Linked DNA regions of Drosophila melanogaster. The protein of the gene in region 1 interacts with the protein of each later gene in a pairwise test. Each region holds a gene or a part of one and is shown on either strand. Other genes may lie near its edges. The genes, in order: CG6230 and SCCRO3.

The links.
Region 2: the proteins of CG6230 (region 1) and SCCRO3 interact in a two-hybrid assay, tested with the Drosophila melanogaster proteins (one large-scale study listed by BioGRID).

Annotation. Positions count from the first base shown.
Region 1 is NT_033779.5:11,114,835-11,121,863, reverse strand, and holds CG6230 (uncharacterized protein), read left to right. Parts: upstream 1-1,544; 5' UTR 1,545-1,692; coding exon 1,693-3,723; intron 3,724-3,788; coding exon 3,789-4,698; intron 4,699-4,757; coding exon 4,758-4,954; intron 4,955-5,019; coding exon 5,020-5,162; intron 5,163-5,222; coding exon 5,223-5,355; intron 5,356-5,409; coding exon 5,410-5,553; intron 5,554-5,608; coding exon 5,609-5,728; 3' UTR 5,729-6,108; coding exon of another isoform or gene 6,109-6,204; 3' UTR 6,205-6,229; downstream 6,230-7,029. Other genes in the region: Dnaaf4 (dynein axonemal assembly factor 4), read left to right, coding at 279-445, 566-1,121; Gr32a (gustatory receptor 32a), read right to left, coding at 6,109-6,204, 6,279-6,368, 6,426-6,488, 6,545-7,029.
Region 2 is NT_033778.4:12,933,520-12,938,483, reverse strand, and holds SCCRO3 (squamous cell carcinoma-related oncogene 3), read left to right. Parts: upstream 1-1,948; 5' UTR 1,949-2,530; coding exon 2,531-2,705; intron 2,706-2,783; coding exon 2,784-2,921; intron 2,922-2,984; coding exon 2,985-3,318; intron 3,319-3,374; coding exon 3,375-3,732; 3' UTR 3,733-4,250; downstream 4,251-4,964. Other genes in the region: Sans (scaffold protein containing ankyrin repeats and SAM domain), read right to left, coding at 9-31; CG30487 (uncharacterized protein), read left to right, coding at 214-810; CG17019 (uncharacterized protein), read left to right, coding at 4,746-4,813, 4,886-4,964. UniProt on the Drosophila melanogaster protein: Promotes neddylation of cullin components of SCF-type E3 ubiquitin ligase complexes and thus regulates SCF-type complex activity. Function promotes cell proliferation.

The DNA.
Region 1 (7,029 bases):
ACAACCAATCATTGTTTGGTCGATGGGAAACGCAGTCGGTTTGTTTCGGTGGTTCGAAGCCCGGTTAATATTCAAATTAAATCGAGGGGGAATACGACCAATATGCGCTGCAAGTGAACAGCCGACGGGTAGTTGGCCCTGTCGTAGTTGTCGTCGTAGAGTCCCCAGTTCCGGCCAGCTCAAAAACATAAGTTCCTTCCTATTGTCAGTCGCAGACCAGCAGCAGAAGAACCACGGCCATAGCAGCGCAAACGAACAGGGAAGCCAAGCAACTCATCATGGTACAGATTTCGCAGACAGAGGAGGACATCAAGATCTCCATCGAACTCAATCGTCTGGTAACCCGCAAGCCGGACGTTGTTCTCCTTCCGCAGTACTTAAAGTTCAACAATCCACCCATCTTCTTTGAGCGTCATCTGGCCCAGGAGATCGACGAGATGGCCAGGTGAGTTAGTAGAGTTTAATAAGTATAAGATTATTTCAGCTTCAGCGAGGTGTTGGGATGAGGATTAAAGCATTTCTGTAATTTGGGACACATATATTAATGGAGTAACTATCTTTACAGCTTTTGTCGCATTTTTAAGAACGAAGCCCGCATTGTGCTGGTTAAGAAAGAGAAGGGCTTATGGCCTGAGATGTTCCAGAAGCTGGACAAGGAGGCACTCATGCAGAAGCGCCTAGAGATCGCCGACCTCATCGTGGAGCGCAACAAGAAGCGGGATGAAAAGGCACTGGAACGTTACGATAACAAGCGGCGGGCGGAGATCCAGAAGGAGATCCAGCGGGAGACAGATATGCGCGAGCGTGTGAAGCAGTTCCAGGAGAACTCGGTGCGCGAAGCTCTGGTAGTGGATGTACGCAAGGAGGCGAAAGCTACGCCCAAGCCAGATACACTGCAGTATCCGCCATCGTCGGGAGGCGCCAGTCGCCTGGCCACGCCCCTCATGCGTCCGCCCATGAGCTCCGTTCGTGGCAGCGGACGGATCAACGTAAACTTCACCACACAGCACAAGCGGGTCACGCCGAAGCGGGAGTCGCAGGCCGCTATGGAGAAGGCATATGCCGCCGCCGGTGGACCCAATGCGAATGTCCAGTCGCCGATGGAGAGCGTCGATGAATAAGCGTTACATGTCAATTAGCGCGTGCGTGCGAGACTGTGCTAATATTCCTATTTTATTATTGCATCAAATAAATCTACAGGTGTTTGTTTAGTTGAATCAGCACTTTAGATGGTTTTAATTTCATGGTTCGGGAAAGTAAAACTTTGCACTACAGTAAGTATTATTAATTAAAATTTATTAAGCTATACAAAATTATTTTAAAGACGATCCTGGTCTAAGTAAAACAGAAGCTGTTTCCCAAAAATATAATGGTTAATAAAATATTTACATACTTTGTACATATGGTATTAATATATTATGCTAAATTTTTGGGGGTTTGTGTGAATTTAATGTGCTGACAACAAAATGAATTTGAATTTAAAAATCCGATAACATATCGCTGACACTGGATTTCCAACACTAAGTCGGCGCTATCGATAGCATAAGACAAACAGCTGGTGCCTGTCAACGTTGCTTGAATTTTCACAATTTTTTTTTGCCGCTATGACATTACAACTATAAAAAGTGCTTTAGATTTTCTAAAAACCTCACACAGGAAACGCGCTGCAGTAGGAGTACCCACCTGAAACCGATGACCGAGGCAGCTGGAGCAACCAACCCAGGAGGAGCCGCCGGAGACGCGGAATCGTACGGCAAAGAAATGGCTCTGCAGTCCGGTAGGCCGAAAGAGCCAACCAAGTTGGACGACCTGGTGCAATATGTGAGCCTCCATGTTCGCATACCCACGCCGTTGACCGGTGTTGTGCTGCCCTTTGTGCCACTTTACCTGTCGGCATTCTACCTGTGGATCAACGTTACGGGTGGACAGGAGAATGATACCACCAATAACGATGTGATAACTGCCGATAACCAAACGACCACGGATAATATAACAACTTGGAATGACGTGGGATTCATCGGCGTACTAGCCATTGCCTTTCTGCACATTCTGACGCTGCTCTTCTGCTACTGGAGCGTTCACGTGCTGGCCTTCCTCACTTGCCGTCGTGTAAAGCTCCCCGGCGCCAATGTGCTGGCCAAAGTCGTACCCACTCCCAACAATGGCAACTCGAAGATCGTCCCCATTCGGTCCTCCAAGCTGGAGGATGGCTCAACACAGTATTATTTCGTTTTCCAAAAGACCAAATACGTTTGGAATGAGGATCGGAAGACATTCCGCGCCGTCGAATTCCCGGTAAATGGACTACTGAGCACCTATTCCTCATCTAGAGGTTTGGAAACTGAGGAGGACATTAAGCGGGCTACTCAAACCTACGGAAATAACGAAATGGAAATGGTGGTTCCTGAGTTCCACGAACTTTTCATAGAACGCGCCACTGCGCCGTTCTTCGTGTTCCAAGTGTTCTCCGTGGGACTGTGGTGCATGGACGACTACTGGTACTATTCCCTGTTCACGCTTTTCATGCTAATTGCCTTCGAGTGCACTATTGTTAAGCAGCAGCTGCGGAACATGTCCGAGATCCGAAAAATGGGCAACAAGCCCTACCTGATATACGCCTTTCGTCAAAACAAGTGGCGTCACCTTGGATCCGACGAGCTGCTACCCGGGGATTTGGTGTCGATAACGCGGTCCCAAAACGACAACATAGTGCCCTGCGATCTGGTCATTCTTCGAGGCTCTTGCATTGTGGATGAATCAATGCTCACTGGCGAATCAGTGCCACTAATGAAGGAGTCATTGGAATCCTTAGACAATTTGGACGTTGAAATGGACGCCGAAGGAGATGGAAAGCTGTTTGTGCTGTTTGGTGGCACCAAAGTAGTCCAGCATACTGCCCCGACGAAAGAATCGCTTCGAGCTCCTGACGGTGGTTGCATCGGCTATGTTATCCGTACTGGATTTAACACATCCCAGGGCAAACTACTGCGGACAATCCTGTTCGGCGCAAATCGCGCAACGGAGAACAATGTGGAGACCTTTGCTTTTATCGCTTTCCTTATGGTATTTGCCGTAGCCGCAGCATCTTATGTGTGGGTTAAGGGCAGCGAAGACCCGGAGCGCAATCGCTACAAACTTTTCCTGGAGTGTACGCTCATCCTCACGTCCATAATTCCGCCGGATTTGCCCATCGAGCTGACCTTGGCGGTAAACACATCACTGATCCAGCTAACAAAGTTGTTCGTGTTCTGTACAGAACCCTTTCGGATTCCATTCGCGGGAAAAGTGCAGATTTGCTGCTTCGACAAGACGGGGACACTGACCACGGATAATCTGATGGTGGAAGGTATTGCAGGATTGGCTCCCAATGGGGCTTGTGTCCCCATTGAGAAGGCGGAGGGAAATACGGTTCAAGTGCTCGCCTGTTGCCATTCATTGGCTCTGCTTGATGACGGATTGGTAGGAGATCCACTTGAGAAAGCCACTCTAGCAGCTGTAGATTGGACGCTTACCAAGATGGACAGCGTCATCCCAAAGCGACCACAGTTTAAGCCATTGAAGATCATTCAGCGCTATCACTTTTCATCGGCACTTAAGAGAATGTCTGTGCTAGCTGGTCATCTAATTCCGTACTCCAATGAGGTTAAACACATAGGAGCCGTAAAGGGAGCTCCTGAGGTCATTCAAAAGATGCTGCGCGAGGTGCCCGCGGACTATGAGAAGGTATCTAATTCGAATCTTATTGTTATATAAGTTTATATCAATTTTCAACAAAATTTTATTTTAAGGTGTATTTGGAATACGCTCGTCGTGGAGCACGCGTACTGGCTTTGGGAATTAAGGATCTTGGGACCCTGGGCGCTCAAAGAGTTAGGGAAATGAAGCGTGAGGAAGTGGAGTGTGACCTGACATTCGCCGGATTCTTGATTATTTCATGTCCCATGAAGCCCGATTCCAAATCTGTGATCAAGGAGCTTATTCAATCCTCACACAAGGTGGTCATGATTACGGGCGACAGCCCGCTCACCGCCTGTCATGTGGCCCGCGAACTGCGCTTCACCCGTAAAAAGCTGATCATTCTCACCCCGCCCGAGGAGGATCGTAAGAACAACTGGAGCTGGGTATCTATTGACGGGGATCAAAGCTACGAACTGGACACTAAGCCTGGTAGCAAAAAGCTTTCCCATTTGCTAGCCACACATGATCTCTGCATTACCGGAGAGGGATTGCAGTATCTGCAACAGAATCAGCCGCAATATATGCGCCAACTACTGCCACAGATTACGGTCTGTGCGAGGTTCGCACCCAAGCAAAAGGAGCTCGTAATCACACAGTTAAAGCAGCTGGGTTACTGCACGTTGATGTGCGGCGACGGCACCAACGATGTGGGTGCCCTTAAGCACGCCAACGTGGGCGTCTCCCTGCTGACCAGCGCTCCAGTGAAGCGCAAACGCACCGAGGAGGAACAGCAGCAGGCGGCGGCCAATGCAGCTGCAATAGCAGCTCAGGCACAAGCCAATGCCAATCAACAGTTGACGACCAGGGAGCGGGCATTGCGTCGGCGCCAGGAGCATCTCAATCAGACACAGGCTCGCCTCCAAAACGCACTCCGCGACATGGAAGAGCAAACTATGGTCAAGTTGGGTGATGCCTCTATAGCGGCGCCATTCACCAGCAAGTCTTCGTCAATTATGTGCGGTGGGTATCATTGAATTATTGTTTATGTTCCTTTCGACTTAATGTGTTCTAATTTTTAGTTAACCACATCATTAAGCAGGGTCGTTGCACGCTGGTCACCACACTCCAAATGTTCAAGATCCTTGCTCTGAACGCCCTCATTCAAGCCTACTGTCAGTCCGTGCTCTATATTGATGGAATAAAATTCAGCGATACCCAAGCCACCATGCAGGGTATTTTCATTGCCGCCTGCTTCCTCTTTATCACACGAGCTAAGGTAAGTAAAACAGCGCTTTAATTTTATTAGAACAATTTAAAGTATTGTATTTGTTTTTTATGTAGCCGCTGAAAACTCTATCCAAGGTAGCTCCACTGCCAAATATCTTCAACTTCTACACGATATCGACCATTCTCAGTCAGTTTGCTGTGCATTTCGGAACGCTCTACTACCTGACCAGCCAAGCCAACATTTTGGCACCGCCTAGGTGTGTTTGGCTAGAACATTATGAAAAGAAAAGCATTTGAATTGATAATTTGTTTTGCAGAGAGGGCAAAGTGAAGTTGTACATTGATATGGATGCCGAGGAGAAGACCAAATACGATCCAAATATTGTTAGCAGCACGGTGTACATAATTTGCCTATCATTACAAGTCGCTACCATTGCGGTGAATTACAAGGTACGCTCCCAGACATATCGTGCAACGCAGAATACTAAACTTAAACTTACGTAGGGCTATCCGTTCATGGAGAGCTTGCGCTCCAATCGCATGCTGATGTATGCCATCGGAGCCTCCGCTGCACTGGTCATTCTTCTGTCCACGGGACTGGCGCCCGAACTGACGGAATTCTTTGAGATAATTGACTTCCCAACGGATGTAAGTACTTGAGTATATTTTATTGTTATAATGTATATAATGTTATCATTTTCAGTTCCGTAAAACTTTGCTCGGCGTCCTGGTCCTAGATATTGTAGGGGCTTTTCTTTTGGACCGTATTTGCTCATTCCTGTTCGGGGAAACGCGTCGCAAATCTAAAGTGCTGAACTGTTAGGACCATTTTATACTAAATACTAGAAAAGTAATGTGAAAGCAGGCGCAAGCCGTACGTTCCACTAGAGAAACCCCTTTCGTTTTTATTTGTACCCCCATAATGATGAATAACAAAACGTAATATTATGGCGTCGGTTTCATAAATATTGAAATTCTTCATCTAAGAATCAACATAATGCATTTAAGGTGTATTATCAGGCAAGTGTATTATCGGGCATCCTATATCATTTTATTTTGACAAATTGAGATCTTTCGATTTTTTCGACTCTCCCGTATATGCGATTAGTGAAATTGTCGTAATATTTGTAATGCTAATAAAAATAGAGAAAAGTTCGAAAGCCGCGATGCATATTTATCAAATACTTTTGATATAGGTTACATTTAAGTTTGTTCTGGTACAGGATCCTCTACTTTCGAGTCTTCGAGCTGTTTGAACTGAATCAAGATTACCAAGTATGTTGTGACGGCCGAAAATATCTGAAAATAAACAGCAAATACACAGAACTTGCAGTACATCCCATTAATAAATAAGGGATACGTGGATTATATACCTTGAATAGTGTGGAGTTATCTATCGCAAAAAATCCATATGCCGTGAATTGCACCTCCTGTTTAATGCTCTTCGTAAGGAACTTATCAATCTGGTAATGAAACCCTTAGCTAATCACTTTGATTCATTTCGTTTTTCAATAACTTACGATATTCTGATACTCCTTCGACTTGGCATACACCCTTGCAAGAATTTGGGATGTGGCATTGGCCTTGAAATAAAAACACTCATGAATATTGAGATCTTATCTCCGATGTAGTTGCTCACCTCCGTGGTGGTCAGACCACAGCTGCGTGACAGCAAAGCCAGCAGGGAAACGTGGAGACATAACCAGGCGAAGCACCACTGCAATATGTTTGGTGAAACCATGCCCTTGCCGGTAATCTGGACAAAGAGGTTGTAGCAGTTGGTGGTGACCGTGTAAAAGGAGTAGCCCAGAAACGAGACCAGAATCAAGTTGCAGCAATCGTTGATGCCCTTGTAGATACGCAGCAGTTTGTTGTGCATGCGGTATATGAATAGCGAGTCTTCCGGGAAATGTTCCATTAGAGCAGGATTGACATTGGGATTGACGTCACCACGCTGCCGCCTCGCTCGTGCTCCACCTTCTTTGCGCCTATGCTGCTGCCCATAGGTGTAACCATTTAGCAGCTGGTTGATGAAATGAAACCGGATGTACACAATCCTGAGCAAAGCCGATGCGAATACTATATATGTGGCGGTCAGACCGTTCTGGATGCCATAGAAGGCCA
Region 2 (4,964 bases), on another chromosome or scaffold:
GTACCCACTTGTGAAACCGATCCGATGACATATTCGTCTGTGTTATCTTTCAATCAGGTTGGCGATGGAAATTCTTGAATCGATCTGAAAGGAATCCAAGGCGAGATGAGTAGGCTGTTCATTATACTTGCCATTCCTTTCCATCACACATCTCAAGATTCTCAAAATTAGGTCACACACATAAGCGCCAACAATTCTTTACAATTAAAAAGCATGTCTATAGAAAAAATCTCCTCCGAGCTGCGTAAGATGATAATATCTGACAATCCAATCGAAGCAACAACTTTCGATAAATCTGCAATAGAGGCAACTTTGGATTCCAACAAATTCGAAGATCTACGAATTCCGAAGCATACACTGAAGCAAAAGTTTCTTCTTCGAAAGTCAATAATTGAACATCCCTTTAAAAGAATTCGTGCCGAAGGAGTGGATTGGGCTCACAAAATTCGAGACACCGACGAAGAGAAGGAATCTAATTGGGCAAAGATTGCGACTGGAAAGGTTTCTGGCAATGCCTACGATCTTAAAACCATGATGAGCGAGTGTGAAAATATTTGTGGTTACGGAAACGCCATAAACTTGACGGTCCCAAGGGTGGACAAACTACAGGATCTGGCTAAATCGATCCCAACGGATCCCGATACAGTCTACCTGACCTGTCAATGTGATGATATTTTCTCTAATGGAGGCACAGAAGCTCCGACTCAAAGCCCCGACGAAGTTAATTTCGAAGAGCTGTCCAGCTACTTCGAAAATATGCTCAACATACCCAAGAATCTTCCGCTCAGCGCTGAAATAATGTATACTTAATGATTGGAACGGTGTGTGTATTGTTATATTTAGAGTAAAAAAAGATATAAATCATTTTAGTTTACGGTTTTCTCATTTTAGATGTGGTGATGTTAGGTTTGGATCCCTATATATGCATATACATATGTACAATGTATGTATCAGATCGACTGATTTCCGTTTTGGTGTTACTGGTACCAAATGTAGACGGGGTTTTCGTACTTCTTGTCTTACTCCACTTTTTAATGTGCTTATTGTGTGGGGCTGGCCAATTAAAATAAGCCCGAAGATGAGCCAAATTCCTAAGCCTAAGCATATTGCCCTTTTTCCCAGCACTTGTACTAACGTTCACACGTTTCGAATTAATAATCCAAAAAAGAAAAAGAAAAGTGTAGCCGCCGCGAAGAATCACAGGCCCACGACACACGCACACAAGAAAACATTACCCATTTACTGCGCACGACGGAGTTTGGCTTACATACCAACGACCAACTACCAAGTTCACTCAACCTTGTTGGCTGGTTTTCGAATTGCCCAAAACAACCGAAAATCGAGACAGTCAACCATTTACTTATTTACCACGGGTACACACACTCACTTATTACCAGTTAGTTGTCCCGGTTCAAGACGACTTTTCAAATGCAGGATTTCAAATTGGATTTTCCCACTCCGGGCAGCTTGACACTTTTCTTTTTAGCCAAACGAACCGAAAGTTTTCATCTGCGATCGGTAGAATATGCACGTTCCGAAAGCCGTTACCCGGAAGCACTTTCTACCGCTCCGACTGCATGTTGTTGAATGAAATTGTTAGCTTTGCTCAAACTCGGCGCTCACATTACGCACAGTGGTCGAGAAAATGATAGATGCTGCTTAGACGGCAACTAAATATTTTAATGGGAAAAATTATGTATGCTAATGTTTTGTTTTAAATTTCTTAACCAATAAAGTAATATAAAGAATATAAATTAATAAAAACATTGTATTGAACGTATTGGTTCAATAATCGTATTTGAATATAGAATAATTTGTACGAAAATATTTAAGGTGTGAACTACTGTGCGGAATCAACTTGTATGTCCTACTGTGACTCTCTTCGACGATAGGGTGTTGCCAGACTGAAGTTGCTACGACTATCGCATCAACTAACGTAGAGCACTGCAGCCCTGGTTGACTAGTGCCGCCCTGGTCCGATTGCCAGAAAAAAACAAGACAAGTGAAAAAGCGAGATAAATCAAATTAAAAATATTGTAAAAAATTGTAGTTAAACACGCGCTGGAGCACGGTGAACTGAAAATGTGAATGAAAACCATCAATAGAGAGAGACGAGCGCGATTTGGTGGCACCAAATGCTGCAGTTGCAACCTGCACATGTATGTGTATACGCGTGAGTGTGCGTTTGCGTAGGAGGCACCAAAATAACAACAGCAATCGCAGTGACAACAAAGAATCGGAATCGGAATCGTACTTGTTTGTACTCGCACAGGACGTACTTGGAATCGGAATCGGAATAGCCACTACCATATGCCAGAGGAGGGAATCGCAGTGCCAATGCATAGTTAATAAATTTCCCAGAAGCTATACGACCAGCAGACCTCAATTGCAATTGCACGCCCCTTGACAAATCACAGTGTCTCAGCCAAAACGAAACTGGAAGCCATCGAGTGCTCCCGTTAAGCAAGCAACTGCAGGCGGAGCACGGGGGAGGAGTAGGACCTGGTGGTGCACCAAGCACGCCCGCACTATGGGCAATTGCCTGAAATGCTTCCAGTCTGCCGCCGAACAATCGATGCCAACGAACGCCTCGTCCCCCAATTCACACAATTCCAATTCCAACGCCTGCCAGACGGCCACCAGCCTTGCAAATTGCTACGAATCGGTGGGCATTAATCCCAATGCCAACGAGCGCTGCGCCTTAGGTGGGTATTCTATAGTTAATAACCGCATTGTGATCCAAAGTCTAAGAAACCTCTCTTATTCCGGCTTATGCACTCTAGAAACCGATGAACTGCTCTCTAGCCGAACTCCACTCAAGCCAGCAAAAGCAAACAATTGTGATACTAAGCGTAATAGTTTTAAGTCTTTAGGTTTGCTTAATGGCAGTGCGCCCACCATGAGCGATATCATAACAACTGGTGAGTCAGCGTTCATTCGACTGCCTTGGCGGCATACTCATTCGATTTTCTATATTCTAATAGCTGTCCAGGAATCGATGGAGGTATCGCACCAAACGCTGAGCAAACTATTCGATGTGTACAAAGATCCCGACGACGAGGAGATGATACTCACGGACGGCATCGAGCGACTATGCAATGACCTCAACTATCAGCCCGATGAGTTCGCAATTCTCGTCTTGGCCTGGTGCCTGGATGCCTCGCAGATGTGCCGCTTCACCAAGGTGGAGTTCATTGAGGGTCTGCATAAGATGAGGGCGGACACAATAGACAGTATCCGGGTGCGGCTGGAGCAGACAATCGAGATGCTCAAGGCGGACGCCGAGATGTTCAAGCAGTTATACCGCTTTACATTCCGGTATGCCGTTCTTACTGCTTGGAAGATCAGTACCTAATTAGCGTCTCAAATTTCAGATTTGGTCTGGAGCCCGATCAGCGCGTCCTCTCTCTGGAGATGGCTATTGACCTGTGGAAACTTGTGTTCACTGTACAAACACCTGATCTCTTCTCCAACTGGATACACTTCCTCGAAAAGCACCCGAATATTCGCCGCATACCGAAGGATACATGGAACATGTACCTCAATTTTACGGAACAATGTGATATACAAAATTACGATGATACCGAAGCGTGGCCCAGCCTCTTCGACGACTTTGTCGACTACGAGAAAAGCCGGGCGCTGGTTTCCTCGGGCATCCACGACGATGACAACAACAACGACGATCCCCTACAGAGCCACGTGAAGGCCGAGGATCCGGGTCTTGTGTCATAGTAGCCAGTCTCCAGTCTCTTCAGGGCCAAGCAACATTCAACTCGCCAATAGAAATTAAAGAATGTACATTTTCATCTATACTGACCACTCGCTCTCTCTAGCTGCTGCTTAAGATCCCCTGTGAAAGTAGAAAACTTTAAACACCCGTGGCCACTGAAAACGAACGATGCGGTGCTGGCGCTGCTTGAGGACGGACTCTCCAACTGCCATCATTAGCCAGCTCTTATTATGGCTGGCCAACATTCTGGCCGGAGCAACAACGGACGCATTTGTTTATGTAATTAAAGACTTATCGACAAGAATTTTGGAAAAGCTCAATCATCGGAAACCACATGTGTATATAACTAATTGACTTGAAGGCGGAGCAGAAGGTAGACCGTATAATATTTAGCAATTAATTGATGTATTATTTTAAACAAAATTGCAACATTTTATGGCACTTAACTATTTAAATGCATACAATTACATACTTAACTGTAAGTAGTGGATGTGAATTAAATAAAACCAACTAAAAGATTAAACTGCTTAATTGGATTTGTTAATTATGGCATGGCGTATTTAGTTTGATATACCAGTAAATTAACTTAACATAATAGTTGCTTTAAAATGGGGGGATGTATTCAAATCAACCGCCAATTGCATGGCCTATCGATATTCATATCTGCAGATTGGACCGATAGGAATGCCTCCATGCAACCGTGAGACTAGTACATTAAATTGCTATTTTGGTTGGCCTGATAAAATTATAAAAATCATCGCAAACGCAGTCAGCTGGGTATGATTAAGTGTTGAGTGCACCTCCGCGCTCTTGAACAAATCCCCACCAGGTGGAAATGATAGCCGTGTGCAGGGCATTCTTTATCCAGTGATTCACGGCGTTGACATTGAAAAACAAACGCAATGCCAGCACAGTGGGCGTGAGCAGGCGGAAGGGGTGTAATCGCCAGGAAGGGCAAGGATTCAGTGCAAGGACACGGTCGATAGGAGCAGCTGGCCAGTGTCCAACGACCACGATGCCCTGCGAAAGTTGCGGTGTGGAATTCACGGTGTTCCGTCGCAAGCGTGCTTGCTTCGACTGCAAGTGAGTAATGGCCTGTTCATTTGGTTTTCACGGATTTCGGGGATTCATCGATATTTTGTAAACCTCCATTAGACGCTACTACTGTGCCAACTGCATTGCATCCAGGCGGTGCAAACGATGCTCTGTATTCGCTCAGCGACCACTGTCAAGG